Linked DNA regions of Oryctolagus cuniculus. The main gene of each other region encodes a partner of the protein of the gene in region 6 in a complex. Links are inferred from orthologs where the notes say so. Each region holds a gene or a part of one and is shown on either strand. Other genes may lie near its edges. The genes, in order: MKS1, TCTN1, TMEM107, AHI1, TMEM231, CC2D2A and B9D2.

What was found.
Region 1: CC2D2A (region 6) and MKS1 share a complex: the UniProt entries of both Homo sapiens proteins name them as parts of the tectonic-like complex. The link is inferred for Oryctolagus cuniculus from reciprocal best matches to the Homo sapiens genes CC2D2A and MKS1.
Region 2: CC2D2A (region 6) and TCTN1 share a complex: the UniProt entries of both Homo sapiens proteins name them as parts of the tectonic-like complex. The link is inferred for Oryctolagus cuniculus from reciprocal best matches to the Homo sapiens genes CC2D2A and TCTN1.
Region 3: CC2D2A (region 6) and TMEM107 share a complex: the UniProt entries of both Homo sapiens proteins name them as parts of the tectonic-like complex. The link is inferred for Oryctolagus cuniculus from reciprocal best matches to the Homo sapiens genes CC2D2A and TMEM107.
Region 4: CC2D2A (region 6) and AHI1 share a complex: the UniProt entries of both Homo sapiens proteins name them as parts of the tectonic-like complex. The link is inferred for Oryctolagus cuniculus from reciprocal best matches to the Homo sapiens genes CC2D2A and AHI1.
Region 5: CC2D2A (region 6) and TMEM231 share a complex: the UniProt entries of both Homo sapiens proteins name them as parts of the tectonic-like complex. The link is inferred for Oryctolagus cuniculus from reciprocal best matches to the Homo sapiens genes CC2D2A and TMEM231.
Region 7: CC2D2A (region 6) and B9D2 share a complex: the UniProt entries of both Homo sapiens proteins name them as parts of the tectonic-like complex. The link is inferred for Oryctolagus cuniculus from reciprocal best matches to the Homo sapiens genes CC2D2A and B9D2.

What each region holds. Positions count from the first base shown.
Region 1 is NC_091448.1:33,643,649-33,648,076, forward strand, and holds the start of MKS1 (tectonic-like complex member MKS1), read right to left. Parts: upstream 2,915-4,428; 5' UTR 2,838-2,914; coding exon 2,758-2,837; intron 2,391-2,757; coding exon 2,281-2,390; intron 825-2,280; coding exon 754-824; intron 355-753; coding exon 199-354; intron 1-198. UniProt on the Homo sapiens protein: Component of the tectonic-like complex, a complex localized at the transition zone of primary cilia and acting as a barrier that prevents diffusion of transmembrane proteins between the cilia and plasma membranes.
Region 2 is NC_091452.1:8,300,960-8,304,599, reverse strand, and holds part of TCTN1 (tectonic-1), read right to left. Parts: intron 472-3,640; coding exon 346-471; intron 2-345; coding exon 1-1. UniProt on the Homo sapiens protein: Component of the tectonic-like complex, a complex localized at the transition zone of primary cilia and acting as a barrier that prevents diffusion of transmembrane proteins between the cilia and plasma membranes.
Region 3 is NC_091448.1:52,667,148-52,671,232, forward strand, and holds the start of TMEM107 (transmembrane protein 107), read right to left. Parts: upstream 2,883-4,085; 5' UTR 2,658-2,882; intron 2,437-2,657; 5' UTR 1,063-2,436; coding exon 976-1,062; intron 861-975; coding exon 798-860; coding exon of another isoform or gene 793-797; intron 702-792; coding exon 601-701; intron 32-600; coding exon 1-31. UniProt on the Homo sapiens protein: Plays a role in cilia formation and embryonic patterning. Requires for normal Sonic hedgehog (Shh) signaling in the neural tube and acts in combination with GLI2 and GLI3 to pattern ventral and intermediate neuronal cell types.
Region 4 is NC_091436.1:33,406,692-33,411,081, reverse strand, and holds the start of AHI1 (jouberin), read right to left. Parts: upstream 2,930-4,390; 5' UTR 2,791-2,929; intron 2,531-2,790; 5' UTR 2,469-2,530; intron 1-2,468. UniProt on the Homo sapiens protein: Involved in vesicle trafficking and required for ciliogenesis, formation of primary non-motile cilium, and recruitment of RAB8A to the basal body of primary cilium.
Region 5 is NC_091449.1:57,934,719-57,938,815, forward strand, and holds the start of TMEM231 (transmembrane protein 231), read right to left. Parts: upstream 2,882-4,097; 5' UTR 2,779-2,881; coding exon 2,640-2,778; intron 2,547-2,639; coding exon 2,377-2,546; intron 1-2,376. UniProt on the Homo sapiens protein: Transmembrane component of the tectonic-like complex, a complex localized at the transition zone of primary cilia and acting as a barrier that prevents diffusion of transmembrane proteins between the cilia and plasma membranes.
Region 6 is NC_091433.1:10,626,587-10,630,226, reverse strand, and holds part of CC2D2A (coiled-coil and C2 domain-containing protein 2A), read right to left. Parts: intron 1,093-3,640; coding exon 970-1,092; intron 1-969. UniProt on the Homo sapiens protein: Component of the tectonic-like complex, a complex localized at the transition zone of primary cilia and acting as a barrier that prevents diffusion of transmembrane proteins between the cilia and plasma membranes.
Region 7 is NC_091449.1:13,268,723-13,273,036, reverse strand, and holds the start of B9D2 (B9 domain-containing protein 2), read right to left. Parts: upstream 2,915-4,314; 5' UTR 2,687-2,914; intron 2,613-2,686; exon of another isoform or gene 2,391-2,612; intron 2,318-2,390; 5' UTR 2,314-2,317; coding exon 2,226-2,313; intron 1-2,225. UniProt on the Homo sapiens protein: Component of the tectonic-like complex, a complex localized at the transition zone of primary cilia and acting as a barrier that prevents diffusion of transmembrane proteins between the cilia and plasma membranes.

The DNA.
Region 1 (4,428 bases), on a different chromosome or scaffold from region 6:
GAGACGGGAGCAGCAGCCACACCACCTGCACTCTGCCCACTCTGCCTCAGCTTGGCTGCCAGCAGCTCACGGCAGTTTCCAGACAGCCTATGGATCTCCTCCCTTGCCAGGCTTCCGATTTAGCACCCAGAACCCAGTGAAGCCAAAAAGCCAGGGGAGGCAAAGAAGGAAGCTACAGGGCCTTGGGAAGAACAATACCTCCTCCAAATTGGTGTAGCGGTCAGAGTCGGTGTAGGTAAAGATTCGTCGGTTCTTCCTGCCCCCCGACTGCTCCAGCTTCAGGATCTCTTGCCGGTACTGGTAATCCAAAGGGCTCTGACAGGCTGCTTCATTCTGGTACAGATCTACTTCAAACTGAGGTCGCCACAAGGAAACAGACATCCGAGATACCTCAAAATTCTGATCCTAGAACTACTACCAAATCAGTCCTAGAGAGCTGATATTATCTGACATAGCTCCATAATTAATTCTCATAGATTTAAACCAATGGAGGGCAGGGGACCCAAGAATGTTAGAGAGCAAAGGGGTGAAGCTCTAGTCCAACCGCATTGTTATAGGTGGCGTAGGGTCCACGGTGGGGAAACGTGCCTCACCCAGGGTCATAACACTGAGCGGTGGCGGTCACTATATTACACTGCCCTTGTAAACACAACAGAGGGAGGTACAAATTGCTACGACCATCCCAGAAATCACTTTGGCAATGTACAACCAGCCAGGTGGAGGGAGACCACGCAGTGAACGACACCGGCTCACCTGGCTAAAGAGCTTCTGCTGCCACCCAATGACCACCTCCTCATCTTCATCTTCCTCTGGGCGATGTCCACCTGCAAAGACAACAGAGTTACGTCACCACCATTTCTTGCTCTGAGGTTGATTGTAACCAAAGCCCCTACTCTTATGTTTGCCACAAAACCAGCAGGAGTTCAGTGATTTATTAAGCATTCAATGTAGACAAAGGATACACTGGAGTTAGCAGGAGTTGAAGCCAAGATTAAAACCCACAAAGTCTTAATCACTATTCTAATTTGAATAAAATGTAGTTCTGCCTTCCAGGAAGTAGTCAATTTAACTCATTGTCAGGAACTGAGCCTAGGATATAGGTTGACCAGCCAGCTCTTCTTCAATGCCAGCTGCCTGCATTTGCTAGGTAAGAACCCTGGCATTTTCATTTTAATTGTTCCTGAAGCCATACAGCTAGAATCACAATCATGTCAGAGACCAAGTGTCAGGAGAGGGCAGGGAAGGCAAATAAATGATTTGTTAAAGAACCAGATCTAACACACTCCAGGGGTGAGTATCTTTTTCAGAGACACAGCTTCAAAACCCCCATTTCACAGAGGAATACTTCTGAGTGCAGAGAAACAAAAGGCAGAAACACTAATGGCCCAATACAAGCACCAGCCTCTGTTCCTCACACCTATGGCTTCCCAGATAAGGAGAACCACAAGAACACTGTGGGTGTTCAAACGCACAGTCTGCAAGCAGTCTTCAATCGTAAAATTGTTTTTAAAAGTATTTACATGCATATGTAGAGTTTGAGCATATCTTTCTTAGACAAACGAACAAAAAGCCATAAATGGTACGGTTGCCAGGCCCATTTATAACATCAGATATACGCTATCTGTCTTTTGCCACTATACTGGACCACAATTTGCCTCAGTATCTTGATAGCAGGAATCGTATCTTATTCAATTTCCACAAATAACACGATGAAGTAGTTAACACCACCTTGGTTCAAGTGCAGGCTCCAACTATGTGACCTTAGGCAAGCAACACAATCTCTTTGCCTTCCATTTCTCCTAGGTAAGAAAGGTGCAGTTGGGGCCGGCGCTGTGGCACAGTGGGTTAAAGCCCCAGCCTGCAGTGCCGGCATCCCAAATGGGTGCCGGTTCGTGTCCCGGCTGCTCCTCTTCCAATCACAGCTCTCTGCTATGGCCTGGGAAAGCAGTAGAAGATGGCCCAAGTCCTTGGGCCTCTGCACCCGCATGGGAGACCTGGAAGAAGTTCCTGGCTCCTGGCTTTGGATCAGCTCAGCTCTGGCCATTGTGGTCATTTGGGAAGTGAACCAGCAGATGGAAGACCTCTCTCTGTCTCTACCTCTCTTTGTAACTCTGTCTTTCAAAGAAATAAAAATACTTAAAAAAAAAAAAAAAAAAAAAAGGTGCAGCTTTCTCTGAACACCACAGGCCTGGGTCTCTTCTGTCCTAACGGGAACCTCTACCCCCCAGGCCCTCCCTCGCCCAGGTCCCCAGGGGGCTGCGACTCCACCGTGACACCCACTGGCAGTGGGATGAGGCCTGAAGGTGGCCAAGTCTATGAGGTCCTTCCGAGGCTGGGCCGCAGGCTGGTAATGAAGAAAGCTGCCTGAGGTGATTCTTTGCAGGTGGACTCTGTGAAGAAAACAGAAGCTCGAATACGCGTTACAACACACACAACGCAGAGCAAGCATGGGAAATACAAAACACAGGGCAGGCGCCGGGTGGGGCGTGGGCCCTACGGGGAAGAGAGGGTGAGAGGACTACTGCGGAGCCAGGGCTTGAGGAATCGGAGAGCGACAGGCCTTGAAACGACCTGGCTGGGTGTGGAAGGCGAGCTTGGAAGCCCTACGTACAGAAGATCTGGGGAATGCAGAGCGATGTAGAGAGACCAGGGAGGAAGATCGGGATTGTAAGCGCAAGTGGGGGCCTCAGAAGAACGACAAGTTCAGGCTCGAAGGGCATAAAAGCATAGCACCCCGGGCTGGGGCGGCGCGACTACCGGAGGCGCAGGTTGCGCACAGGGTCCCGGGAGCGATACACTGCTTCCCCGGTGTCAGTACTCCAGACGGTCTCCGCCATGATATCTGCGACGCGCAACGACTGCGCCGGAAAGCACACCGCCCCCAGTTCCCCTGGCAACGCAGACGCTGGGGCGGAGACGCTACGCACGCAACCCGCCCTTCCCGCCGCGGCGTCGCCCCCTAGCGCCCCAGAGCGGGCAGTGCAGGAGCCTGCGAATGTCCGCTTTACCATTTGTGCGAACGAGGATCACTCACTCCTGAGGCGGGACTTAAGGCGCTGTACAAATGAGGGGCCAGGCACAGCCGTCAGCCCACTTGGCGTAAATGCAGGGTGATGAGACTAGACCTGTTTTCCCACTGTGCCGTACTGTCTTCCGCTGAACGCAAGAAAAACGGGCGGAGGAGACTGAAAGAATGCACCCATTAATCCCAAAGGAATCAGGGAAGGTGGTGGCACTCCCCAGACACGAACGCACATTCTTCAAGGGGCGGGGGAGGGGGGGTGCGGGTGTCCTACTTATTAGTCGTTGTGTTGGTATTCTCTGGGCCAGAGAAGGAAAAAACAGGGAGGGCCAACAGTTAAAACAAGGAAGACAGCAGCAGGAAAGAAGAGATGTAGTCATGGCACAGGTTCCTCCCCTGTGTGTTAGTTCCAGATTATTAAACTAACTGCTGTGCTGCCCTGGCCCTCTGAGAAGCCCACAGAGTGACATTCAGGACATGCCCTAACCTCAGCTGGCTCCCTTTAACATCTGCTACTTCCCCAACAGGGTTAGCAGTTGTCCCCTGAATTCAGGAATCAGTTTGATTGCATGGCCTTGAACACCTGGGGTGCCATAGCTGCTGTTTGTGCCTTGCCAAGGACTCTCCATAAATAGCACCATTTAGGTAGGAGCTAATTTAGCCTGGGAACTTTGTTGGCATTGTTCCCAATCCTCATGGAAACCCTAAGTCCATTTTTATCCCCATTTATTTTTTTAAAAGATTTATTTATTTACTTGAAAGTCAGAGTTACACACAGAGAAAAGGAGAGGCAGAGAGACAGAGAGGTCTTCCATCCACTGGTTCACTGCCCAGTTGGCCGCAATGGCTGGAGCTGCTGATCTGAAGCCCAGAGCCAGGAGCTTCTTCCAGGTCTCCTACGCGGGTGCAGGGGCCCAAGGACTTGGGCCATCTTCTACTGCTATCCCAGGCCACAGTAGAGAGCTGGATCAGAAGTGGAACAGCCGGGACTAGAACCAGTGCCCAAGCGGGATGCTGGCACTGCAGGTAACTGCTTTACCCGCTATGCCACAGCACCGGCCCCTTATTCCCATTTAACAGATGAAGTTAGTGAAGGCCAAGGGCTTAAGAATTCACTAAGGCTTCACTCTAGTTAGTGATAAAAGCATTAGGATTCCAGCCTTTTGAAGCCTAACCACCTAGGAAAGTCAGTCTGACATAATTACATGTAAACTAGTTACTGTACTGCATGGTGTAGAAATATAAGCTATTGGTGTAACTAACCATACTTAGTACTATGTTTTTAAAGGTTAACTGGGTCTTTATGTTTTCTCTTTGTTTACTGATTTCCATAAATCAGAATTCTTAAAATTGAGATTCATGAATAGGATTCAATGGGTCCATGAACCCCTTCCCTAGAATTCTGA
Region 2 (3,640 bases), on a different chromosome or scaffold from region 6:
TCTGCAGCAAAAAGGCAGATGCAAGTCCTGCCCCCGGCCTGCGCCCAGGAGAACACACGGGATCTCTCGCTCCCTCCCTCGCTCAACCACTGCCTGCTGGCGAGGCCGATGGACACAAAGGGCTGCTTGGCCACTAAGCTGCCTGTGAGGGACCATTTTACTCAGGTTGTCCTGACATCCAATATCAAGTCTAAACAAGAATACTAATGCAAATAAAACCATGCTCAAACTAAGTAAAAGGCAAAGAATGACTTGAATTTCTCTCAGCATCCAAATTGTTAAATTACAATCCTTTAAAACTCCCCAGCCACACTTGAGTTTGCTCGAGGCTACAGGGAGACGCACCTCAGGGAGCGAGGAGGAGAGGAGACGCGCGGTCACGTTCACGATTTTGGCCTGTGGGTTCAGCAAGGACCCGTATTTAGTCCACTTCACTTCTATAACCAGAGCCACAGGGAGCTGGCAAGAATCCTGCAGAACAAAACGCCACTCATCAGTGTGAATCTTGCACAACCTCAGACTGAACCTGCAGTTCAGAGTTCTGATTAGGAGATGTTTCACACATCCAAGGTGTTCTGAACAACAGAATGAATAGATGGGAAGCTCAGGCACAAACACTTCTACACCGAGAGCGTGCCTTCCCATCCCCTCCTGCTTCTGCTGGGAGCCACGGCAACCCCAAGCCAGCTAGGGAACCCTGGGGCCTTAACAGCTTGCTGGGCCTTCAGCTACCTGTTCTCAGCTGTCTGCCTCGCAGGTACTGCGAGAGGCTGGCTGGCACGAGGGGCCAGGAGAGAATGGGGGTATTCACAGAACAGAACCTGAAGGCTCATCGTGCCAAGATGCGCTGAGCGGAAACCCAAGGGCTGGCTTCTTATTTTTGTTTCCTAATTTCTTCAGTAGGCAGCACTGTGATATTTGGATACGTGGGCAGTGCTCGTGTGCTGTCAGACACTAACCACTCACGTGCGCTGAGCCTGCCGTGGTCAAGCTGCCTGAGCTGAGGCTCAACACTACAGGAGTTGGATCTGTGGCCTCTGCCCCAGGCTCTTTGCTTGGTCAGCCCCAAGGGAAAACAGGCAAGTGTGCCTTCCAGACCTCCCTCCTGCTTCAGCGGGCAGCCGTGGTATCTGTTGACGCTGCCTGACGGGCAGATGGGGACTCTGTTACACTGTGCTACTTCTGAGTGTGCCTGGAATTTTTCCATGATATAGATTGTTTTAGACACACCTCAGGACATGAGTGGCTAAGTGGGCTTCCTGACTTTGGCACCTGCCCGCAAGGCACTGCCTTTAAGAACCTTGTGCTGTGGCATAGTAGGTTAGGCCTCTACCTGCAATGCCAGCATCCATATGGATACAGGTTCAAATCCCGGCTGCTCCAATTTTGATCTAGCTCCTGGCTGATGGCCTGGGAAAGCAGTGGAAGATGGCCCAATTGCCTGGGCCCCTGCCCTCACATGGGAGACCCAGAAGCTCCTGGCTTCAGATCAGCCCAGCTCTGGCTATTGCGGCCATTTGGGGAGTAACCAGTGGATGGAAGACCTCTCTCCCTGTAACTCTACCTCTCAAATAAAATCTGAAAAGAAACTTGCAAGCAAATGGAGCCAGCATTAAGCTGCAGCCTGCAGTGCCAGCATCCCATATGAGCGCTGATTTGAGTCCCAGCTGTTCCACTTCTGATGTCGCTCCCTGCTAATGTGCCTGGGAAAGAAGTGGAAGGTGACCCAAGTCCTTGGGCCCCTGCACCCACGTGGGAGACCTGGATGGAGTTCCAGGCGCCTGGCTTCAGCCTGCTCAGCCCTGGCTGTTGTGGCCATTTACATTTAGGCAATGAACCAGCAACCCCTAGGTGTATCAGGCCATCCGGATAGGAGGCAGTGGGTGACAGAAGTGTGGAGACGCTCATGCAGCTGCTACCTACGTGGCCGGAACAGAACCCACTGCAGGCCCTCGGAGCACCCTGGCCACTTGCTGGCAGGTGCCAAAGCGGTGCCAAAGCCAGGAACACCCTGGCCAGCACCCTGCGCTGCTGCCCCTCCTCCCAAGCTGCCATCCTTCTGGAGGGCAAAAAAGAACAGGACGTCTTCCCAGCTTGCCAAGAGGCCGGCAACTGGCTGCGTTCACCAAGGCAGCAGAGAAGGACAGGAGTCAGCAGGACTGAGTGATCCTGGGTCTCTGCTGGAGACTTGCGGGGGAGGGCAGGATCGGAGCTCGTGAGCTGGTCCTCACCCCGTGGCGCCCTTGCTATACATGTGCTAAGCAGATAATGAGCCCGAGGAACTGTGACAGAGAAACACTGGGTGATTAGGGGATAAGCTGGGGAGTGCGCCTCTGGTGATGGACAGGGCCCGGCCCACGCGCTGACGGCAGAGACAAAAGAAAAGGTGGGCAGAAGACTCACACGTGCCCAGGAGCCTATTTGTAGGAAGTCAATTTCCATTAAACCCTTTGGGGAACTTTGGAATTAAAAGCTCACGCGTGGGCTGCGCTGTGGAACAGGAACAAAGGCTGGGACGGCGATGTGGATGGGAGGAAGCCGCCACCTTGGAGACAGGCCTCACATGCAGCTTACTGCACCCCAAGATGCCCGGAGGCTCACCTAACACCCGCAAACAGGGACAAAGTCGCGGTGCTTGCTGAGTAGCCCCTACCAGTGTTTCAGATTGGGGGACGGCCGCATATACATAATGGGGATAGGAGCCGAGTCCAAACACAATTTCATATACACCTCAAACGCAGCTGAAGGTAATTTTATATCATGTTCTTACTGCACCTGTTCTTTTGTTTGGTTTTTGAGACACAGAGAAAGTTCCTGTTTGCTGGTTCACTCTCCAAATACCCACAATAGGTAAAGCCGGGCCAGGCCCGTCAGAAGCCTAGAACTCCAGCTAGGCTCCCCCGTGATGGCAGGGCTCAGTCACTTAGGCCATCGCCTGCTGCCTCCCAGGGTCTGGATCAGGAGGAAGCTAGCATCGGGAGCCATACACGGGACTTGAACCCAGGCGCTCTAATACAGACTATAGGAATCCTAACCAGCATCTTACCTGCTAGGCCAAACACCTGCCCTGCACCTGCAGCCCATCACAAGGTGTGGGATTTCTCACTTGTGGCATTACATCAGCACTCAAAGTCCAGGTTAGGAATGGCCGACCCGTACCACCAGGATGGCCAGCAGCAGCCCCATTTAGGAAAGGAACACTAGCTGCTGTGCCAGGGACCAAACGAGCTCCCCCTCCCGACAAGGGCCAGGTCTGTACTGTGACTGTCATTCCCACTGCACAGGAAAGAGGTTCCGACCTCCAAACTGCTGGCCACAGGCAACACTGCTCATGCGGCAAACTCAGTATTACAGATCCAGGCCAGTCTGCTCACAGCACCCAGGCTCCTACCCAGACTTGCCCACCTCACTCCCTGCGGGGCCCCACCACCCGGCCCAGGAGAGGGAGAGACTACCGGCCTGTGGCCTTCAACTGCCCCCCCCCTTTTTTTTTTAAATTTTTTTTTTGACAGGCAGAGTGGACAGTGAGAGAGAGAGACAGAGAGAAAGGTCTTCCTTTGCCGTTGGTTCACCCTCCAATGGCCGCCGCGGCCGGCGCGCTGCGGCCGGCGCACCGCGCTGATCCGATGGCAGGAGCCAG
Region 3 (4,085 bases), on a different chromosome or scaffold from region 6:
TGCACTACAGTGCGCTGCGATGGCTTGTGGGCGACACACAGGAGTCAAGGAAAGTCTTGGGGCCACAACAGCGACGGGCTATGGCAGGCCAGTGGTGGAGCTCCCAGGCCTTGTGCGACGGCGGGAGTCAGCAGCCCTGCCTTCTGATTTTAACAGGCCCACGTGTAGCGGCCTGCGCTGAGCCTGCACTGCCGAGACCCCAGGCTACCCTCACCCCACATGGAGGGGCCAGCCTGCACCCCCGAGGGGAGGTCAGAGCAGGCCCCCATGGACCCCACAGGAATGCGGACAGCGACTTGATCCTCTCTGCTGGAATCACTCTCCACCAGGAGGCCCGCAACTGGAGAGTCAAGCGCCTCCCTCAATCCTTGGCTCTTTTACCCCCTCCTAGAGGATAGTGGGGTGTGTGTGTGTGTGTGTGTGTGTCTGCCTCCGCCTCACCCCCATTTACCTCCAGGGCCCGGTGCACAGCGGCATCCACAACTGTTTGAGGATTGTGTCAAATCCCTGCACTGCCTAAGCAGAGGCGGGGCTCCTGGGGGGAAGGGGGTCGCTGAAGGGAGTCGCGCTGGAAACGGGTCGTGGGGGCAGAAAGGATACAGATGAGGCTCTGGGTGCTGTTGAACATGGACACTCCTGAGAGGAAGCCGGCCAGCTCCACGGCAAAGAGGCCCAGGGTGACCGAGAGGGCGGCCACCAGCCTGCAGAGAGGAAGGGGAGCGGCTCAGGACCCCCGGCCTCCGGGACTCCCACCGCCTCTTCCTTCGAACCCCCACCCCCCCAAGAGCTCACTGCACGTCCTGCTTCTCATACTCCTCGGGGGTGAATCGGAGGGGCAGGCAGGCCTGGACGTTGCTGTCCTGGGGAGCGGGCAGAAAAGGAAAGGAAGTGAGAGAGGCCGGCTGAGACCCCGGGCGGGGTGGGCGCGGCGACCACGGCGAGATGGCGACGCGGAGTGGCGGCCGTGGGTCTTACCCGCGACCAGAATAAGGTGATGACGACCACCAGATGCGCCAGCAGCGTCAGGAAGCGGGAGGGCACGAGCCCCGAGATCCGGCTCATGCTCCTCAGGGCCGCGGGCGGCGGCGCTGGGAAACCTCTCCCGGCCCGCGGCCTTCGCGCGCCTCAGGGGCCGCCCCGTTGCCTTGGTAACTGCGTACGCGGACCGTGCGCCTCGGGTTCTGAAGATCTCGCGAGAGCCGTAAATTCTCGAGCCGCCGTCGTGCAAGTGCGCCGTGTTCGGGGACCCCGCTGCGGCCGCCAGCCTCCTAACCGGAGGACTACGTCCGGGGGTTCGCTGGCTGCTCAGGTCCGGAGCGGCGCGGCCCCAGGCTGCATTGCCGGGAATGGCCTGTCCGCGGAGGAGGTGCTCGCGGACTGCTGCGGCCGGCGTGCCGGTCTTAGGTTGGAGGCTCAGACGCGGTCTTCCCTTTCCGTCCTCGTAGCTTCCTTGTGCCCTGAGCCCAACGTGGAACGTTCACTGGACCTACCTTGTCCGGCAGGCCCGTTGTCACGGAGCCCTTGGTGGTCGGAGCACCCCAGACATCTTTGCCGGGTTCGGTGAGGGATTTGCATAGTGCAGAAGATGGTGGCAGCCTCAGCCTAGGGACGGCCCCGCCGGGACTGGACAGGGCGAGCGTGGACGAAGCGTCCCGCACAGGAGGTTTGGAGCTGCCTGGGACGCAAGGCTCAGCTCTGGTTCCGGGGTCTCCGAGGTACCGGCCGCACGGGCTCCAGGAAGACCCCTGCTGCTTGCGCACACCCAAGGGGCTTCCCTCCCCGCTTCTGAGGAGAGTAACCCCAGCCTTCAAGTCAGCCTGCACTGCAAAGCCTAGTGGTAGGCAGCCCAAAAGGAGGTGGAGCGTGGTCGCGGCAGGCCTTGCAGCCACCAGGCGCGACGTGGTCAGATTCGTATTCTCCACGACCCAGGTTGCAATATGGAGAGACTAACGAGGAAGCCATAGAAGTATCCAGAAAGGACAGGGTGAAGCAAAGACGATGGAGCAAAGCAGAAGGATTGGGGAGAGGGTCTGGCTCGGGGCCTGTGGGTGGGTGAGGAAAAGGGAGAGTCAAGGTGACCCAAGGATTTTGCGTTCAACAGCTGGAGGTTTGGAGCATTCTGCTCAGTAGGCGTTCTGCCTAGGAGACGGGCTAGACAGTACAAACCGAGTTCTCAGGTCCTTAGGTGTGGACTCATGAACAGGGAGTGGGCAGCCTATGTCTGCTTTGTCCTTGTCCACAACCTTGGTTTATAGAAACTTGCCTCAGAGAAAGTCGTTTCTTGCCTGGGTTTTAGAGCCTGCTGGTGGCCATGGGCTGTGCTGCGGGTGACCAGCTGTCCTCCCGTAGGTGGCCACTCACTCCAGGGCTGGATTCGGTATCTCAGCATTTGAATTGGTGACAAAAGAACTTGCAAACTTTTCATTTTTTGGCATCCTAGGAAATTTCAAACACAACGTAAAAATGAAACAGTATAACAAACCCCTGGGAGGGCCACTGCTCTGCCTCAACAGTTGTCAGCACGTGGTCAGCTTTGTTGCCCCCTCCCCTCCACCACAACCCCACACGTGTGCATTGGGGTACAAATAAAGTCCACTTGGCTGACATGTCTGAAATCTCTGTTAATCTTGGGTTTGCCCTCCTCCCCATCACCTCACCTTCCTTCTTTTCTTGCTGAAGATACTGGGCCACGTGTGGCGTCATTTCATTCTCTCCTGGCACTGTGTTTCCTGCAAACTGATGGTCAGGTCTAATGGTTGATCTATGTGTCATTCAGTTTTCTGGTAAGATCACATCCCGAGGGATGGTTTGTACTTTCTGTTCACCTCATCAGGAATCCTGCTTGTCTGTGTGTCTGTCTGTCTGTGGTGCTGAAGTCTGAGTGGTGGCTTCGGGTGCGGTCAGGCTGAGCCACCCGTGATAAAATTCTTCATCCATTCTCACCTAATGGTACCACGGGTCCTCATTGCCTAACTGCATGATTTCAATAGCGATTGCAAAATGGGGATGGCCTAATTCGAGCCCTCTTCTGCATCTACCAGCTAGAATTCTTTTATCAGTAAGAATTTTCCATGAGATACGAGTCATACAGGAAAGGCAGGATAAATGGGTCCTTTTTTTTTTTTTCCATTATTTGCCAGTTTTCAGAATCCCGGTTCAGTAGTGTCCTACAAACACAACTAGATCTTTTTAGTAGCATGGTGACCACATAGATTTTAACATCTTTTGTGTATTTCAATCTACCTTTTTTTTTTTTTATAACTAAAGAACATTTATTTTCCACTAAGAGTTTGCCTTGAGGATGTAACTAAACTGAGCCACCCCCCACCCCATCTCTAAGGGTTAGTACAGTGACTGTTATAAAGCAGATCTCAACAGTCTGAAGCTCTGGAACCAACATTAACTGACAAAAAAATTCCATCTAAATCCTCATAAAAATGTTTAAGTAAAAAAAAAAAAAAAGGGAAGAAAAAGAAAAGAAAAAAGGGGCAATGGGGGTTTCAGATTGAACAACATTCTCACACTTCATCTGATACATTCAATCTGGCTAGAGTGTACCAAGTGGAAACAGGATCACTATAATACAAAACTCCCACTACAGCACGCTGTACACACCTGTGTTCCAAGCCCACCCCCATCCCCCTACTGCTTCCACTCCATTATTTTCCCGCCTGTTGGGCCTGCCGGCGGAGGAGCACATAGATCTTCTCTTTGATCCAGTCTTTGTTATAAGGCTGGTATGTCTGGGTATCAGCCCGGTAAACAAGGCAGCTGAGGTCTGCCAGATCATCAATAAAATCAAACAACTGACTGATATCGTATGTGATAGACGGACTGTTGGGATTCATTCTTTTCAGATGTTCCTCATACATTTTACAAATACCTTCCATGCATTCATTCACAGATTCATAGTCAGCATAAGTTCTGCCTTCTGGCCTCTTGGTAGGCTGTACCAGCAAAATGGTATGAGACATCGCGCCAAACTCTTCTCTTTGCAGCCGCTGCCGACACCGCCGCCGCACACGAGCTTCTCATTCTACCTTTTTTTAAAAGATGCATTTATTTTATTTGAAAAGTGGAGTTAC
Region 4 (4,390 bases), on a different chromosome or scaffold from region 6:
CCATGGATCTCCTAAACCTTAAAACCAGCCTGCCTATTCAAAGGGTTGTTAAAAGGACTAAATGATTTAAACAGTACTTTAGAACAAGGACCAACAAATATGAGCTACAATTTTAACAGGAACTTCCTAAGGGGATTGTGTGGGGCAGTTTGAGCTGTGTATCTGAAGGACACCAAGTAGCTACAAACATCAATTCCACCGTCAGGTCCTTGGTTCAAATTCCAGCTCCATTTGACAAGGACCTCAATTTCCTCATCTTTCAAAAGAGAATAATAATATCATTCACTGGGTTTTTGTAAAGATTAAATGAGTATATGCAAGGAAAACTGTTGGCACAAAGCCTACTGCATGGTACATGCTTCAAGAGAGAGCTGCTTTACTACTGTGTGATATATACATATATATGAGAGAGAACACAAAGGACATATAATCATATTATGTTTGGGAGGCAAAATAATATATTAATCCATTAATCCAGCAGGAGACCTAGGCTGATGGTTTGGGAATAATTTATAGATATTTGTACAATGGTTGCAAGAAAATAAAAAGCCAAAGATTGAATTCTAGAACGAGGAGGTAGGTGAAACACAGGGACAGAAAAGTATCACAGAAGGAAAGAGTTTTCAGAAAGGTCTATGCTGTGTGGTGTCTACAGTTGCTGCACACTTTGGGAGTGCCCGCTGGATCTGTAATCATGAAGTCACGTGTGCCAAAGCTGTTTATGGAGGGGCAGCAGCTGGGAGCCACAGGTTGAGGAATGAAAGGCAAGACCTGCGGTAAAGGTACGCAGGCAATTCTTTCTAGAATTTTGCTTCCAACTGTCTTCTTCCCACTCGAGATGCAATAGTATGAGGCAGTAGCTTTCAGGGGTGAAAAGACTGTTAGGATTTTGATGTCTGCTTGAGACTGTTTTCAGGCTTCTCATGACCACCCTCCCCTCCACCCCTCTGCACTGCATTCAGGATCATTTTCTAAAACACAAAGGTGATGGTGGTGTGTGATTGCTTTAAAATTCCTCACCAGTTCCCAATCGACTGGTGGAAAGCACTGGCAAGTCCTTACCACTGAGAAGACGACTATTAATGACTGGATCCTTTGCCATTCCTCACAGCCCCTTCACCGCCACACCTTCACACAGCTTCTGGGCTCCAGCCACGTGAAACTACTTGCAGGGCCTGACCAACGCCAAACTCTCTCCTGCCTTTGTAGCAGGTCACATACCCACTTCTCTCCTGAGAAAAGCCTGCCCTGCTTTGACACTCTGACACTAAATGCAAATGGCACCTTCCCTGGGGAGCACCTTCCCCCAAAGCACAGCTGGATCTTCCAACTTCCCTTTTCACCCTGGCACAAATGGTTCTAAACTGGCTGCTCCCTCTATCCCGCAACCCCCTCCCCCAACTACTGGCTTTTGGAAGAACAAGCCTGCACTATCTTTATATAAGTATCTCCATTTTTAAAAGGCAGCAATTATGGCTCCAGATAGGAAAAACTCAGGCTTGAGCTCCTGTCATGCTACTTCATGTGGCCTTGGGTAAGCCAGTTTCATTAAGCCTTGGTTTCTTCCTTGTCTAGGAAACTAAAGTGGCCCCTATTTTAATCATAAGGAGAAAAAGAAATATCAGAAAACAACATAATCAGTAAACTGCAGGTGCTCGATGTCTACAATTATTTTAAAAATAATTACACAATACACAATTAAGTAAATTTTGTATTTACATTTACTATCATTTAATATTTTAATGACCACTGAAATAAGAGATACTATTTAATAACAGAACATTACAAGTCATCATCTCTAAATGTTATTTAGTATGTACAGCAAACACATTAGAAGAATTAATGATTAATATTTGATTAGTAACAGCTTCAAAATTTAAAGTCTGACTTGGAAACATATTCCCAAATCTCATATACCCCGTGATGTTAACATTTCTCCCTCACAAACCCTTTCACAAAAGCTTCTAAGAGATACTGCGTAGCAAAATTTAGCCGAGATTACGTTTCGTCTTTCTCCCTGACCACCTGATCAGCAGCCAATATGTGACTACAGATCAAGGGGGAGGGAGAAGCAGACAGGCTCGCAGAATTCACTCCGGCTCCAAACCTGTACCAAGGAGGAACAGAAATCAGAACCCTTAGTAAATCAACAATCGCCTTCATAAAGATCCTAAATGCGGTTTCAGACACCTGTGGCATCTGCAATTCTTCCAAAGAGACTTTTAAACACGTCCCGGAATCCTCCTAACTGGCGCTCTTGCTCGCAATAACAGCGAGCGTAAACGCAACAGGTGAAGGAACTGTTAGCATCTCTCTCTCCAAAGAAGAGCAAGCCCTGTCTCCACTTTCCCGGTTAAGGCTGACACGCCGCGCTGACACTCGGGAAGGCTCTCATCCCCTTTCTGTGTTTATCAAAACGCCTCTAACAGAATTTGACTCTTTTCTTAGAAACGTAACGTATCCGTCACCTTTTCTGGGTGTCATTAAGAAGGCACTTCACAGGTTCAACATTCAGCGCCAGGTTGACACTCTATAAGGAAATAAACACGCTTATTACGCATCTGAGCCAGAATCCGGGCTGGGAGAGGCAGCATCGGAACAGCACGCCGGACGCTCCGACGCCGGAGAAGTCGCCCCCTTCCCGGGCCGCGCTGGGCCGCTCTGGGCCGCTCGGCCTGCGGAGGCGCAGAGGGAGCCCCCAACGCCGCCACCCCTCCAGAGGGGCCGGGGTAGGTAGGCCGAACACCCGGGTCCGGGCTCCCGCCACCAGCGCACCCACACGATACTCACCCAGAGCGCAGAGCCGCGTCTCCCGCACAAGCCTACACCCCGGGCGGCGCGAAGCGGCTCCCAGCCCCAAGCAGGGAGGGCGAGGAGCCTACGCAGCCTCGGGAGCCGCCAGCAACACCGGCTCTGAGAGCGGGCTCGGTGCCGCAGTGCGGGCAGCGCGCCGCCGGTGACGTCAGCGCCGGCCTACGCCGCCGTTCCCATGACAACCAATGCGGCCCGGCTCCAGGCCTGGACGGGGGCCCTGCGGGAGCGCCCTTCCCGCGGCCCCGCCCCCAGGCTCTCTCCGCCTCCGCCGCGGGCCCGGAGTTGCTGCAGTGCCTGTCTGCCCGCGCCCCTCAGCCTGCCGCCGGGCGCGCGCCCCGGGGCCGCGCCTCCGCGGTTCTAGAAGGGGCAGGAATCTCATCCCCAGGCCAGCAGAGGGGAGGCGGGAATGCGCGGGTGCCGCCTCAGAGCCGCCGGAGCTTGGCCTCCGTCCGGAAAAAAGCAAGCGCGGGAAAAAGTGGGGCAAAAGCAGGCGGGGAGGCGGTCTTGGAAGCCGCCCAAGATAGGAACCTTGAATGAATGAAGCGAGGAAGCCAAGAAACAGACTTGTCGCACCCCACGTGGTCGCCCCCACAAAGTGAAACGCGCGTTGAGAGCGTGGAGAATGAGGAGTTGTACTCCAGAGTCTTCGGGAAAACTTATCCACGATTTGTCTGGCGCTGAGTTGCCTTGAAAGTAGAACAGAAATTAAAACGTCATCTTTCTACACCTGATGACCCCCTCCCACCTTGCAGATTTCTGCCACAGGCGCCATCTTTGGTTCTGAGTCACCAGGGATGGAAAAACACCAGACGCCTTACTCGTCCACGCTTAGTGAGAGGCCGTTTTCTGCAGTTGGCAGCCACGCACCAGAAACCTGTTGCCTCATTTGTAGGGCCAGAGAGTTTGTGTATTTCTCTGGTTGCCAGCTTCTCCATTCTCACTGGCATCACTGCATCTTATAAATGATGGCAAGTGTTTCTCCAGAACCTCTGAGGAGGCGATGAGAAAGAAATATTACCAAACTGTGCTACTTTTCCCTCCAAAACTGGCTGGAAGAATTTTGTGTATCCTGTAAGAAAAGAATTTCAGGTGGGAGACAGTAGCGGTAAGCAAGCTAGCCAAGTTTCACGAGGTAGTTCATCCGAGATGGTGGGCAGCTCGGCTCGCCAAAGAAACCAAGTGCATTGCCTACATGCAGACTGGGGTTACTGTGAGTTAGGGGTCCCTTTCTGCTGTGTCGCCTTCCCGCTCCCTTTTTGGGGAGTGGGCGAGGGGGCAGATATTGCTGGGCAAATGGTTTTTTGGGGGTGAAGTTCGTGAAATTCCTCGCAAGGTTTTATTGCCAGATTTAAGAGCCACCTTGGCAAAGGGCCAGGAAGAGTGTCCTGAGAGATCTCCGGAGGGAAGGCTGGCAACCCCTACAAGGTTGTCAGATATGGATAGGACTTTCTGGAAACACTGGGTGCCTTCCAAGGCTTGCTTCTAAGGCTGCTCCCTTCCTTTCCACATGTACTTCTTGTTTGGGCCCTTTCCCATAGGCTAATGTCTACCTTCCTATCCAGCAAACCTACTCCTG
Region 5 (4,097 bases), on a different chromosome or scaffold from region 6:
TGCTGTAACAAAGGTTGAGAGTCTAGGGGCCAGTGCTGCGGCATAGCAGGTAAAGCTACCGTCTGCAGGGTCGGCATCCCAGGTGCTGGTTCGAGTCCCAGTTGCTCCACTTCCAATCCAGCTCTCTGCGGTGGCCTGGGAAAGCAGTAGAAGATGGCCCAAGTCCTTGGGCCCCTGCACCTGTGTGGCAGACCTGGCAGAAGCTCCTGGCTCCTGGCTTTGGACTGGTGCAGCTCTCACTGTCGTGCCCAATTGAGGAAGGAACCAGCGATGGAAGACCTCTCTCTCTCTCTGCCTTTCCTTTTCTCTCTGTGTAACTCTGACTTTCAAATAAATAAATAAATCTAAAAAAAAAAAAAAAAAAAAGAATTAAGAACCAGGGCTAGCATTGTGGCGCACTGGCTGTAGGGGGTAGGGGAAGAAAATATTCCATTCGAGGCCGGCGCCGCGGCTCACTAGGCTAATCCTCCGCCTAGCGGCGCCGGCACACCGGGTTCTAGTCCCGGTCGGGGCGCCGGATTCTGTCCCGGTTGCCCCTCTTCCAGGCCAGCCCTCTGCTGTGGCCAGGGAGTGCAGTGGAGGATGGCCCAGGTGCTTGGGCCCTGCACCCCATGGGAGACCAGGAGAAGCACCTGGCTCCTGGCTCCTGCCATCGGATCAGCGCGGTGTGCCGGCCGCAGCGCGCCGGCCGCGGCGGCCATTGGAGGGTGAACCAACGGCAAAGGAAGACCTTTCTCTCTGTCTCTCTCTCTCACTGTCCACTCTGCCTGTCAAAAAAAAAAAAAAAAAAAAAAATTCCATTCGGTGGTACACTCCCCAAATGGCACGATGGCCAGGGCTCGGACATGCTGAAGCCAGGAACCAGAAGCTTATTCCAGGTCTCCCACATGGATACAGGGCCGCAAGCACCGGGCCATCCTCCACTGCTTTCCCAGGCACATTAGCAGGGAGCTGGATCGGAAGTGGGGCAGCCAGGATTCGAACCAGTGACCATATGGAATGCCAGGGCTTTAACCCGCTGTACCACAGTGCCAGCCCCAAAATTACCCAGTATGAAAGTGATCTCATGGTATGGGTACCATAAACATTAAGAGTTAGTTTTGGCTTCTCATTAAAATTGGAACTGCACGCCAGATGCAAGGGGGGACCAGGGCGGTGCACTGAAGGGAGTGGTTGGTTTCTGGTTGCAGAGCTAAGAGGCCAACAGCAGCTGTGTTGCACGAACCCGTAAAAACAATGAATGAATGAAACTTAATGGTTTATCCTTGTCTTCACAATTATCTCAAGCCTGCATGGTATTTCTTAGACTCAAATGACCAGAAGCACATGATAGAGAGGAATATAAACATGTGGAGAAAAAACCTGGGGCTAGTGCTGTGGCACAGTGGGTTTGACCTCTGCCTGCAGCGCCAGCATCCCCTATGGGCACCGGTTCAAGTCTTGGCGGCTCCACTTCCAATCCTGCTTCCTGCCACTGTTCCTGGGAAAGCAGCAGAAGACGGCCCAAGTACCTGGGCCCCTGACACCGACGTGGGAAACTGGGTACTTTCCTAATTAAAATAAGTCAATAGGGGCTGGCACTGTGGCGCAGCGGGTTAACGCCCTGGCCTGAAGCACCGGTATCCCTTATGGGTGCAGGTTTGAGACTCGGCTGCTCCACTTCCGATCCAGCTCTCTGCTGTGGCCTGGGAAAGCAGTAGAAGATGGTCCAAGTGCTTGGGCCCCTGCACCCACTTGGGAGACCTGGAAGAACCTCCTGGCTCCTGGCTTTGGATCGGTGCAGCTCTGGCCGTTGCGGCCAACTGGGGAGTGAACCATCAGGAAGACCTCTCTCTCTCTCGCTTTGCCTCTCCTTTCTCTGTGCAACTCTCATTTTCAAATACATAATAAATCTTAAAAAAAAAAAAAAGCCAATAAATTTCAGAAGTAACCAGAGAAAAACTATCTGTAACAAACTTTCTAGTTATTCATACGACCTATCATCTTTTTGCTGGGAACATTTTTTACACGAGTTTGTCTTGTAGGCCACTCACCTCAAGGACGTGGAAGAAGGAAAACTAGAAGTTTCGGCCCTCTTAAAGAAAAAGTCTCAATTTTACCCCGGACAGATGCACGCTGGAGCAGCCTCTGAGATCACGTGGGGCAGGCTCCCTCCGCCGGGGCCCTGCCGGGGAACAGGTGCGGGGCGCCCGGTCTCCGAGGGTCAGTCCTGCCCGGAGACGCCCGCCCCCGACCCCCAGCTTCCGCCGCGCCGCGTGAACGCGGCGACACCGCGGGACCCCGAGCGCGCACCGTGCCCGGCCCGGGTCAGCACGCAGCGCTGCCCGGGTACCTGGGCGTCTGGGGGAAGCGGAATTCCAGGCGGGAGCCACGCACCGAGACGAGCGGGACGCGCAGGCGATCCCCCTGCAGCCGGTTGAAGGCGGGGAAGGTGCTCCAGGCCAGGAAGCCGTCGCGCTCCGGTCCCAGCAGGGCCACGAGCAGTACCTGGTGTTGGAAGCGCACGGTCGGCTGCTCCTCGTAGCTGCTCCGCTTCAGCCAAAACCCTGAGAGAAGAAGGGCGTGAGAGGGAGAGGGGGACAGGTCAGGCAGGCCGTCCCGAGCGGAGGCGGTGGCGCGCACCGGCCTAGCAAGCTCACCGTGGCTCCGGAAGGCCACCAGCAGCGGCGGGATGTAGGTGAGCGCGGCGGCCAGGAGCAGGAACAGCGCTGCCTTGGAGCAGAGCCCCGCGCGGTAGCCGCGCTCGGCCGGGTGGGAGTAGAGCTGGTACAGCGCCATGGACGGCGCACGCCGAGACCCCTACGCAAACCGAGAAGGGACGACCAAGTTTGGCTGTTCCCGGCTGCCATCGTCGTGGTCTCCACGGCAACCGGCGGCGCCGGGAGGAGGACCAATAGTAGCGGCGCGGGCCTCTAGAAGGGGCGGAGCTACCTGGAGAGGGGCGTGGTCAGCCAGTGGACGGGCCACCGAGAGGGGGGCGTTGCGTGTTTTGCTTCGGGACGGCTGAGGACGGCTGAGTGGTCCACGCTGATGCCCGCAGGTCGCACACGCGTGGCCTCGCTCCTCGACCTGGTCCTGGACGAAGGCCAAGGCCGGGTTGCTCCGCCTCTGTGTTCTGTGGCTCCGGAAGCAGGACAGCGCACAGGACCCAAACCCTCGGCTCTGGGGCGGGCAGGGTCATTACTACGTACATTGTTACCTGTATTGGGTGCAGGTTCGGCTGCCGGTTTCAGAGGGAGCTACTAAACAAGATACATTTCTTTTTAAAAATATTTATTTGAAAGAGTGACAGAGGGAGGCAGAGATCTTTCAACTGCTGGTTCGCTCCCCCAAATGGCCCGAGGAGCCAGGAACTCCCTCTGGGTTTCCCACTTAAGGGCAGGGGCCTGAATATCTGGGCCATCATCATCTGCCTCCCAGGATGCCCGAGCAGGAAGCTGGAGTGGAAGCCGACCAGCTGGGACTTGGCACTCCCCTCTGGGACGTGTTGTGCAGTGGGTTAAGCCTTTTTTTTTTTTTTTTAAGGTTTAATAATTTATTTGAAAGAGTTACAGGGAGAAGGGGAGAGAGATCGTCCATCCGCTGGTTCACTCCCCAAATGGCCGCAGCAGCCAGGACTGGGCCAGGCCAAAAACAGGAGCCAGGAGCTTCAACTGGGTCTCCCACTGGGGTGCAGGGGCCCAAGCACTTGGCCCCTCCTCTGCTGCTCTCCCAGGTGGAAAGTGGATTGGAAGTGGAGCAGCCAGGACTCAGTTGGCACCCACAAGGGATGCTGGCCCTGCAGATGGTGGCTTAACCCGCTGCACCACAGTGCTGCCCCAGTGGGTTAAGTCGTACTTCCCAAAGATAACATTGGTTTATTGCTAATTGATTGCCCACCGCCTTCTCTGCCAAGCCAGTATTTTGAACAGGGTGGAAGGATTTTTAAAACCTATGATCCAAAAGAAAGGAAAAGAAAAAAAAAAGTAAGCAAACAACAAAAAAAAAGAAAAATAAATAATAAAACCAATGGTCCACAGCCAAGTTCTCCATCCAAAGGCCCTGAAGACTCCAGTTGCAGGATCAGGAGTCAGTGTGGGGGCCGGTGCTGTGGTGTA
Region 6 (3,640 bases):
CAAGTGGCGGCATTTCCTGTTTACAGAGCCAGCCCTGATTCATTATATTGATTCATTTTAACTCCTAACATTCTAGCATGTAGCAATTTTTCTCCTGTCATTCCAGTTCACAAAATCTTGTATATGTCATCTTCTCACATACGGTAAAATTTCTCTAGGGCAGTATTTTTTGAAGTTTTTTTTTTTTTTTTTAAAGGTTTGATACACAGATGCATGTGTATTCTGATTTGTTTGATAGGAAGAAAAGTTTTAGTAAACAACTCAGGCTTACCACTTACCGTCTTCCACTGGCCAGGACCCTCTAAATTATAAGCCTCTAAGGGATCATATCTGACATTTGATTTCATGTTTGATTAGCAGTCATGAAACTGAATTAGCAAATTGATCACCATTTAAAAAAATGGAATATATTTTGTGGTATTATGGGAATTTTTTATATCAAAACTGTTTGACATTAAAATGCATATTGATCTTTTCACATCTACATAAAGACATATGAGGAGCTCAGGTAACTTTGAAAAACCAATATGGTTGTAGACTTACCCAGGAGTGGGATTAAGGGGAAAAATATAGCTACATAGTATAATACACTTTATTTTCTTTTCTATATTCTATTATTATTAGTAAAAGAATTATACCTGGAGCAGATGCTGTGGCATAGTGGGTAAAGCTGCCACCTGCAGTGCCAGCATCCCATATGGATGCCGGTTCAAGTCCTGGCTGCTCCACTTCCAATCCAGCTCTCTGCTATGGCCTGGGAGAGCTGAAAAAGATGGCCCAAGTCGTTGGGCCCCTGCACCCATCTGGGAGACCTAGAAGAAGCTTCAGACTCCTGGCTTTGGATTGGCCCGGCTGAAGCCGTTTGGGGAGTGAACTAGCAAATGAAGACCTCTGTCTGTCTCTACCTCTGCTCCCTGTAATTTGGCCTTTCAGATAAATAAATCTTTAAAAATAAACAAAAAATTGTACCTGAACACTGGAAAGGCCAGGGTATGGAAGGCTTCTTGAAAAGAAAGATTTCCAGAGCTTGGGCTTGGTAACATCAAAATTTATCCTTAGTGGAGAATCATATTGTTGAATATTAAACCAAACCTAAAAAAACAATACCATATTAGCATATATGTTAACCAAAATACACACACGTCTCTGGTGTGTGTGCATATTGTATGGACACATAGACTGTACATGTTTTCTTTCCTGACCCTGCTTTTCCAGCTCCCAAAATTAAATGTGTACCTCTTTGTTTCTACAGCCCTCCGCACCTGTCTTGTTGAGGCAGTGTGGCATGTTGGTTGTGGAACTAGACTACAAGCACTTGAATTTTGACCCTAACACTTTTCAATTGTCTGACCTTGGATGATTTATCTAACTTTTGTTCCTCAGTTTTCTCATCTATAAGAATGGAATAATAACAACTACTTCATAAGGCTAAGCGATTCAGAGTTGATTTACCTGTACTTATTAGAATAATGCATAGATATGTAGTAAGTGCTCAATAACTATTAGCTGTTCTGTCATTATTTGTCAGTTTGTAACTGCCTGGTTATTTATCTGCATCTTCACTATTGTTTTAAACTTTCGCCTTGAGAATGTTCACCATAGGCGTTACTTGCCATTCAGTCTTTAGCACTAGCTTACCTCGTGGCATATTCTAGTCATATTGAATGATATGTCTAGCACAGATTAAGTTTTCATCTAACTGGTGTTCAGTCCTAGGTTTATTAATCGGGTTAAGTAGTGAACGAAACAGTTCTAAGGAGTATCTAGGCCGGCGCCACGGCTCACTAGGCTAATCCTCCGCCTGCGGCGCCGGCACCACCAGGTTCTAGTCCCGGTCGGGGCGCTGGATTCTGTCCAGGTTGCCCCTCTTCCAGGCCAGCTCTTTGCTGTGGCCCGGGAGTGCAGTGGAGGATGGTCCAAGTGCTTGGGCCCCGCACCCCATGGGAGACCAGGAGAAGCACCTGGCTCCTGCCATCGGATCAGCACGGTGCACCAGCCGCAGCACTCCGGCCATTGGAGGGTGAACCAACGGCAAAGGAAGACCTTTCTGTCTGTCTACTCTGCCTGTCAAAAAAAAAAAAAAAAAAAAAGTATCTAATGAGTAATGAGATGATATATCGGAGGCAGGCATTGCAGCACAGCAGATAAAGCTGCCTTTCCCATAAGGGCACCGAATTGAGTCTCTGCTGTTTCACCTCCAATCCAGCTCCCTGCTAATGTGCTAAAGCAGCAGAAGATGGTCCAGGTACTTGGGCCCCTGCACCCACGTGGGAGACCCAGAAGAAGCTCCTGGCTTCTGTCTGGCCCAGCTTTGGCTGTTGTAGCCATCTGGGGAGTGAACCAACAGATGAAAGATCTCTTGTCTCTCCTTTTCTAACTCTGCTTTTCAAATAAAATAGAACTTAAAAAAAAAAAAAAATGTGGGGCCAGCATTGTGGGTAGAGCCACTGCCTGTGATGCTGGCATCCATATGGATGCTGGTTTGAGTTCTGGCCGCTCCACTTCCAATCCAGCTCTCTGCTGGTGTGCCTGGAGAACAGTGGAGGATGGCCCAATTCCCTGGGCCCCTGCACCCACGTGAGAGACCTAGAAGAAGCTCTTGGCTCCCAACCAGCTCAGCTCAGGCTATTACAGCCATTTGTGGAGTGAACCAGTGGACCAAAGAGCTCTCTCTCTTCCTCTCTTTCAAGTAAATAATCTTCAAAAAGATACAGCAAACAAATCAGCAAGTAAGTACATGGGATATAGATGGTGTTGAAGGATAAGATAGATTGTATCATTAGCTTCAATTCTCTTCCTCTATGGCTATCTTTTTTCAGGTTACTTTGCAGTTGCTTCCATTAAGAAAGATGAGAAACACTTCCCTGCCACTTGGCTTTGGTTTGTTGTTGTGTCACCCCTGAGTCTAGGCTAAGGGGCTTTGCCCTGTTGTGCCTCTGCCACTGTCAGGGCCCTGAGTTCCATAGTAAACATGAAGCAGAGCTGCTCAGCCGCAGCCAAGTTTCCCAGCTAACCCACAAATCTATGAAAATAGATACTTGAAGCCATTTAGTTTGGAGTTGGGTTTTTACGATATTATGATAATAATTAAATGTGCACAGGCCATGGAGAAAACTAAGTTGCAGGAACAGAAGAAATTTTGATGGGCAAGGAATTTTTCCTGGGGGAAAAAAAAACCGACATTTGATCAGAAATGCAAGAAATGAGGGAGAAGTTTGTGAATCTAATCAGTAAAGGTGGGAGGGGTATTGGGAAGGCATTGGTGGTCATTTATGCAAAGGAAATAGCAAATGCGAAGTGTGTTTGATTGTTGAATAACAAGGAATACAAAGTGGCTTTAGAGGAGTGGGCACGTTGGAAAGATAACAGCAAAGGAAGGGGAGAAGGCAGGGGTAGGCAGGGTGGATGTCAGATCAAGGAGGCTTTGTAGGCCATTTTGAAGGTTTTGGCTATGATGTATTGGGAAGACAGTAGAAGAGTGACAATTTGTCTTCTGTCTCAGCAGAAATTTGCTTACTGTTTGAAACTAGAAAGAAGTGGGTAGAGGCAAGAGGTGAAGTCTGCTGTTAGGTAGGGATGGAATAATGCTGGTGACTTGGAGGAAAATGGTAGCAGTGGAAGCCTTGAGCTGTGCACAGAT
Region 7 (4,314 bases), on a different chromosome or scaffold from region 6:
TATTTGTATCTAGTATTTGAGAGGTAGAGCGATAAACAGAGAGCTCCCACGCACAGGTTTACTCCCTGAAACGCCTGGAACAGCCGGGACCGGGCCACCCTGAAGCTGGGAGCTGGGAACACAACCCATGTCTCCTACGTAAGCGGGAGGAACCCAGTCACTTAGGCCATCCCTGCTGCCTGCCAGGGCTGGCATTAGCAGGGAGCTAAGCCAGCAGCCAGGTGTGCGGCGGGATGTGCAGGTCCTAACCCCGAGCTAAACACCCGCCCTCTATAGCCATTGCCTCTCTCTCTCCCCAGCACTGTCGCCACTGGAAATCACTGAGTTAAGTTTCTTCAGCGGCTTATATAGTGTCTGACGCTCGTAGAATGAGCTTCAGGAGAGCTTGGCCCATGCACATGGCGGGATCCCCAGTGCGTGGTATACAGAAGGTGGTCGATACATATTTTTTGGGACAATTAAGTGACCCTAGAAGCTATGTGTGCTATGATTACCATTTTCCAAGTACAGAAACAGGCTCTGAGAAGGAAGTCACTTGGTTAATTATTCCATGAACATTTATTGAGCACCTAGGGTATGCCAAGCCTGTTCTCCACTCTGGGGATACAGCAGTGACCACAGCACCCAAAGATCCCCAAGCGCAGAAGTCTGTAAAATGTCCAACTGCAGCGACCAGGCCCCTCGGCCACTGTCTCTGAGCTCCCTGCTGGATTCAATGCCCCAAAGCCACCTGCGATAATAAAAGCCAAGCATGACTCCCTCTGGCCTTGGTGAGGGAAGCCCTGAGTCAGGCTGCGTAGACACAAGATTACTTAAACAGCCCCAAGAAAAGGACAGCAGCCCGGGATCACAGAGCAGGTGAGTGCTGGGGTCCCGGGTAGACATGGAGTCTGACTCCTGAGCCCGACTCTGATCCTGCGACTTCACCCATCCAAGTCAGGTCCAAGGGACCCAAGCCCGAGACGCAGCCACGTCTACCTCATAGGTTGTTACTGGGGCTGGGCAGCCACGTGCCTGGGCTTCACTAATGGGACCCTGTCGGAGTCACCCGCGAGCCAGGCACACAGCACCAGCCAGCCCTGCTCTGCGTGCTGCGCATGCTCCCCTAGGCCTGGCAAAGATCCGCGAGGCACACGTTGTTACTGCTCCCATGTGCACACAAGGAAGCAGACGCACAAACAAGGCCCTAACGTCACCTATTAATAAGAGGCTGTCTACGGTGCCAGCTTCCCACATGGGCCCCATTTGAGCCCCAGCTGCTCCACTTCCGATCCAGCTCTCTACTATGGCCTGGGAAAGCAGGAGAAGATGGCCCAAGTGCTTGGGCCCCTGCACCCACGTGGGAGACCCAACAACTCCTGGTTCCAAATTCGCTCAGCTCTGGCCGTTGCAGCCATTTGAGGGATGAACCAGCGAATGGAAGACTCTCTCTCTCTCTCTCTCTCTCTCTCTGCCTCAGCCTCTGTAACTCTGCCTTTCAAATAGATAAATAAACCTTAAAAAACATAAACACCTGGTTAGGACCCAGGCAGTCTGTGCTCCTAACCTCGACGCCACACCGCCTCTCAGCTGCTATCCACACCGTGCCGTTCCTCTCAGACAAGGAGACCGAGGGCTGGAGAGGTCAAGTCCAGAGGCCACAGATACATACATGGGGACTTAGTATCTGAACCCAGATGTGGCTGCCTATGACCCTGGCCATCACACTGCACCTCTACAAGGTCTGGCCTCCATGCAGACCTACAGAAACACTGGGTCTCCAAGTCCCTGCTGGGCCGTGTGGACTTGGATGATTGCTGCCTTCTCAGAGCGAAAGGCATTCTGACGACAGGATGTGGCCTCTCCTCTGTAAGTCTGGGGTGCAAACTTCTACTTTACAGTAAGAACTCAATAAATGGAGGCTGCTAGTCAAAGAACGAGAAAGCTGGGGAGGATCCCAGGACACACCCCCAAGGCAGCAAGTGGAGTTAACAGGAGCGCTCTGACATGAAGCGTGTGGATGGGGTCTCCCCCTAGCCCATCATCGTCAATGGCCATGCATGCCGAGGGTGGGAGCCAGGGTCCCCGGAGACGGGGCAGGAAGGAAGTGCGGGCCTCACGCGGCCAGCCTTGGCCAGGGCCGGGAGTGCTGAAAGCCCATGGGGAGAGGAGGACCCGGGGTGGGGCGGAGGGTCCAGGGAGAGCGCGGGGTCTTGGTGGGCAGTGACCAGGCCTGGGGGGAATACCTGTGTGGATGCCCCACTTGCAGAAGAGGCTACTTTCCGAGAACCCGGTGGCCCCCATGATCTGCCCGATCACGTGCACCTCAGCCATGGCGCTGGGAGGGAAAAGAAACAATCAGCTCTGAGTAGGGAAACTGAGGCCCAAGCAAGGGGCAGAAGGCCACCAACCTGGTTTTGTCAACCCTCTGAGGATGCAGAGTTATCCACCGACTCTGTCTCCCCGGGAGATGGGGGGAGTAGCCCTAGACTTGGGAACCGGTGCCTAACTATGCCCTCCTTAAACCTCTTCCTGACCTGGCTAAGTCCCGCTAAGGGGCCGAGAGCTCCACCCACAGCCATCAAAGCTCCGCCTCCCCGCGGCTGATAGCCCCGCCACAGGCTCGACGACGCATGCGTATTGAATCGAGGCCCGCCTCCGAACACCTCGGCCCCGCCCCTACTCGTTGCGCATGCGTCACTCCTACCTCACAGAGCTTAACGGCTAGTGGGAGCGAATGCGGCAGCCGGATGCTGGTTCTGGGCCGACTCCGTCCTCTTCGCGGGCGCCAGCGACGCCGGCCTCGCGCCTCCCGTGGGACCTCCCTGACAGCAAGGGCGCTAAGGCGCGAACCTCCGCGACCGCCCTCGCCTCAGGCTCCCTGGCCGTTGCTGGGACAACAGCAGGCTCCTCCCCTGGCCTTGCCCCCGCCCTGCACGCGGCCGATTGGTGCTCGCTGTCCTCGGGGGCGGGGCAATGCCGTGATGGACATCTCTCCGTAGCCTCTCCCAAGCCCCGGCCCCGGGATCCGCCGTTGGGGGCGTGGTCGGGCAGTTGCCATCTTGAGTGTGGCCGGGAAGTTTGAGCGCCGACTGTTTGTGCTGCAGAGCCTCTCCAGGAAATGTGTCAAAATAAGCTTCGCGGCCCGCCTCCTCCCCCTAAAGAACACCTGTCTCCCGTCCTGAACCCCACATGAGAGACTTGAGCCTGAGCTCGGGGGAATTCCCTCGGGTCATTCTGTGCATCCCCCGGCCTCGACTTCGGAAACAACCTCTTCTCAGACACTCAGAGGCTGGGGCGGGGCTTCCCTTCCCTTGCGGAGTTCCCCAGGCTGCTCAAGGCCCAGCGGTCCGGGCCCTCCCAGCGACTGCACGTTCGCCGCCAGTGCTGTGAGCGAGCGGCGTCCCCGGGCCCAGCGGTCCGGGCCGTGGGGCGGGTGCACGCGGGCGCCTGAGGTCCTGAGCGCCTCTCCCCGCCTCCGCGTCCAGGGCAGCCTGGTCCTCAGGACCGGGAGTCCCGCCCAGCCGCGCCTCCTACCGCGGGGGCTGCACACGTGGAGGACCGGGGAGGCAGCAAGGTGCACAGGACAGCATGCACACAGGTAGCGCCATCCGAGAAAGAAGGTTCCTGACAGACAGCTGGGAACGCCACGGTCGTGCGTGCCTGCTCCGTGCAGCCCTGGTAACGAGGACTGCAGGGCGTCAGGTCCTGGTCCTCGCGGACACACGGGGTGGGGTACACAGGGCTTCTGCTTCATGAAGACTTGAGGCCAGCGTCATTTGCATCTATTCCCGTTTGTCCCCCATCAGGGTGAATGACAGCACCCAGCTTGTGGGATTGTTCCAGACTGAAGGAGTCACCGTCTATGGATGTCTTCAATAGGCCCGCAGGGGCCGGCTTGGTGGCGCCTGCACCTCAGAGCGCCCGCTGAGTCCCAGATTCCTGGGGTGCGTCTGAGCAGACAGCAGGCAGTGGACTCAGGAGCTTGGAGGGCGGAATGCAGCACGCGCTCCTGGCTTTGAATTGGTCCAGGCCCTGATGTTGCCCCCTCTGAGGAGGTAACCAGCAAATGGCAGATTTCCTTTTTCATTCTCTTCTCTCTCACCTGGCACTCTGCCTTTTAAATTAATACTTAATAAAAAAAAAATCAAACTACCTGCTGGCACTTTGGTGCAGTGGGTTAAAGCCAGGGCCTGCAGCGCCGGCATCCCATATGGGCGCCAGTTCAAGGCCAGCTGCTCCACTTCCGATCCAGCTCTCTGCTGTGGCCTGGGAAAGCAGTGGAAGATGGCCCAAGTCCTTAGGCCCCTGCACCCACGTGGGAAACCCGGAAGA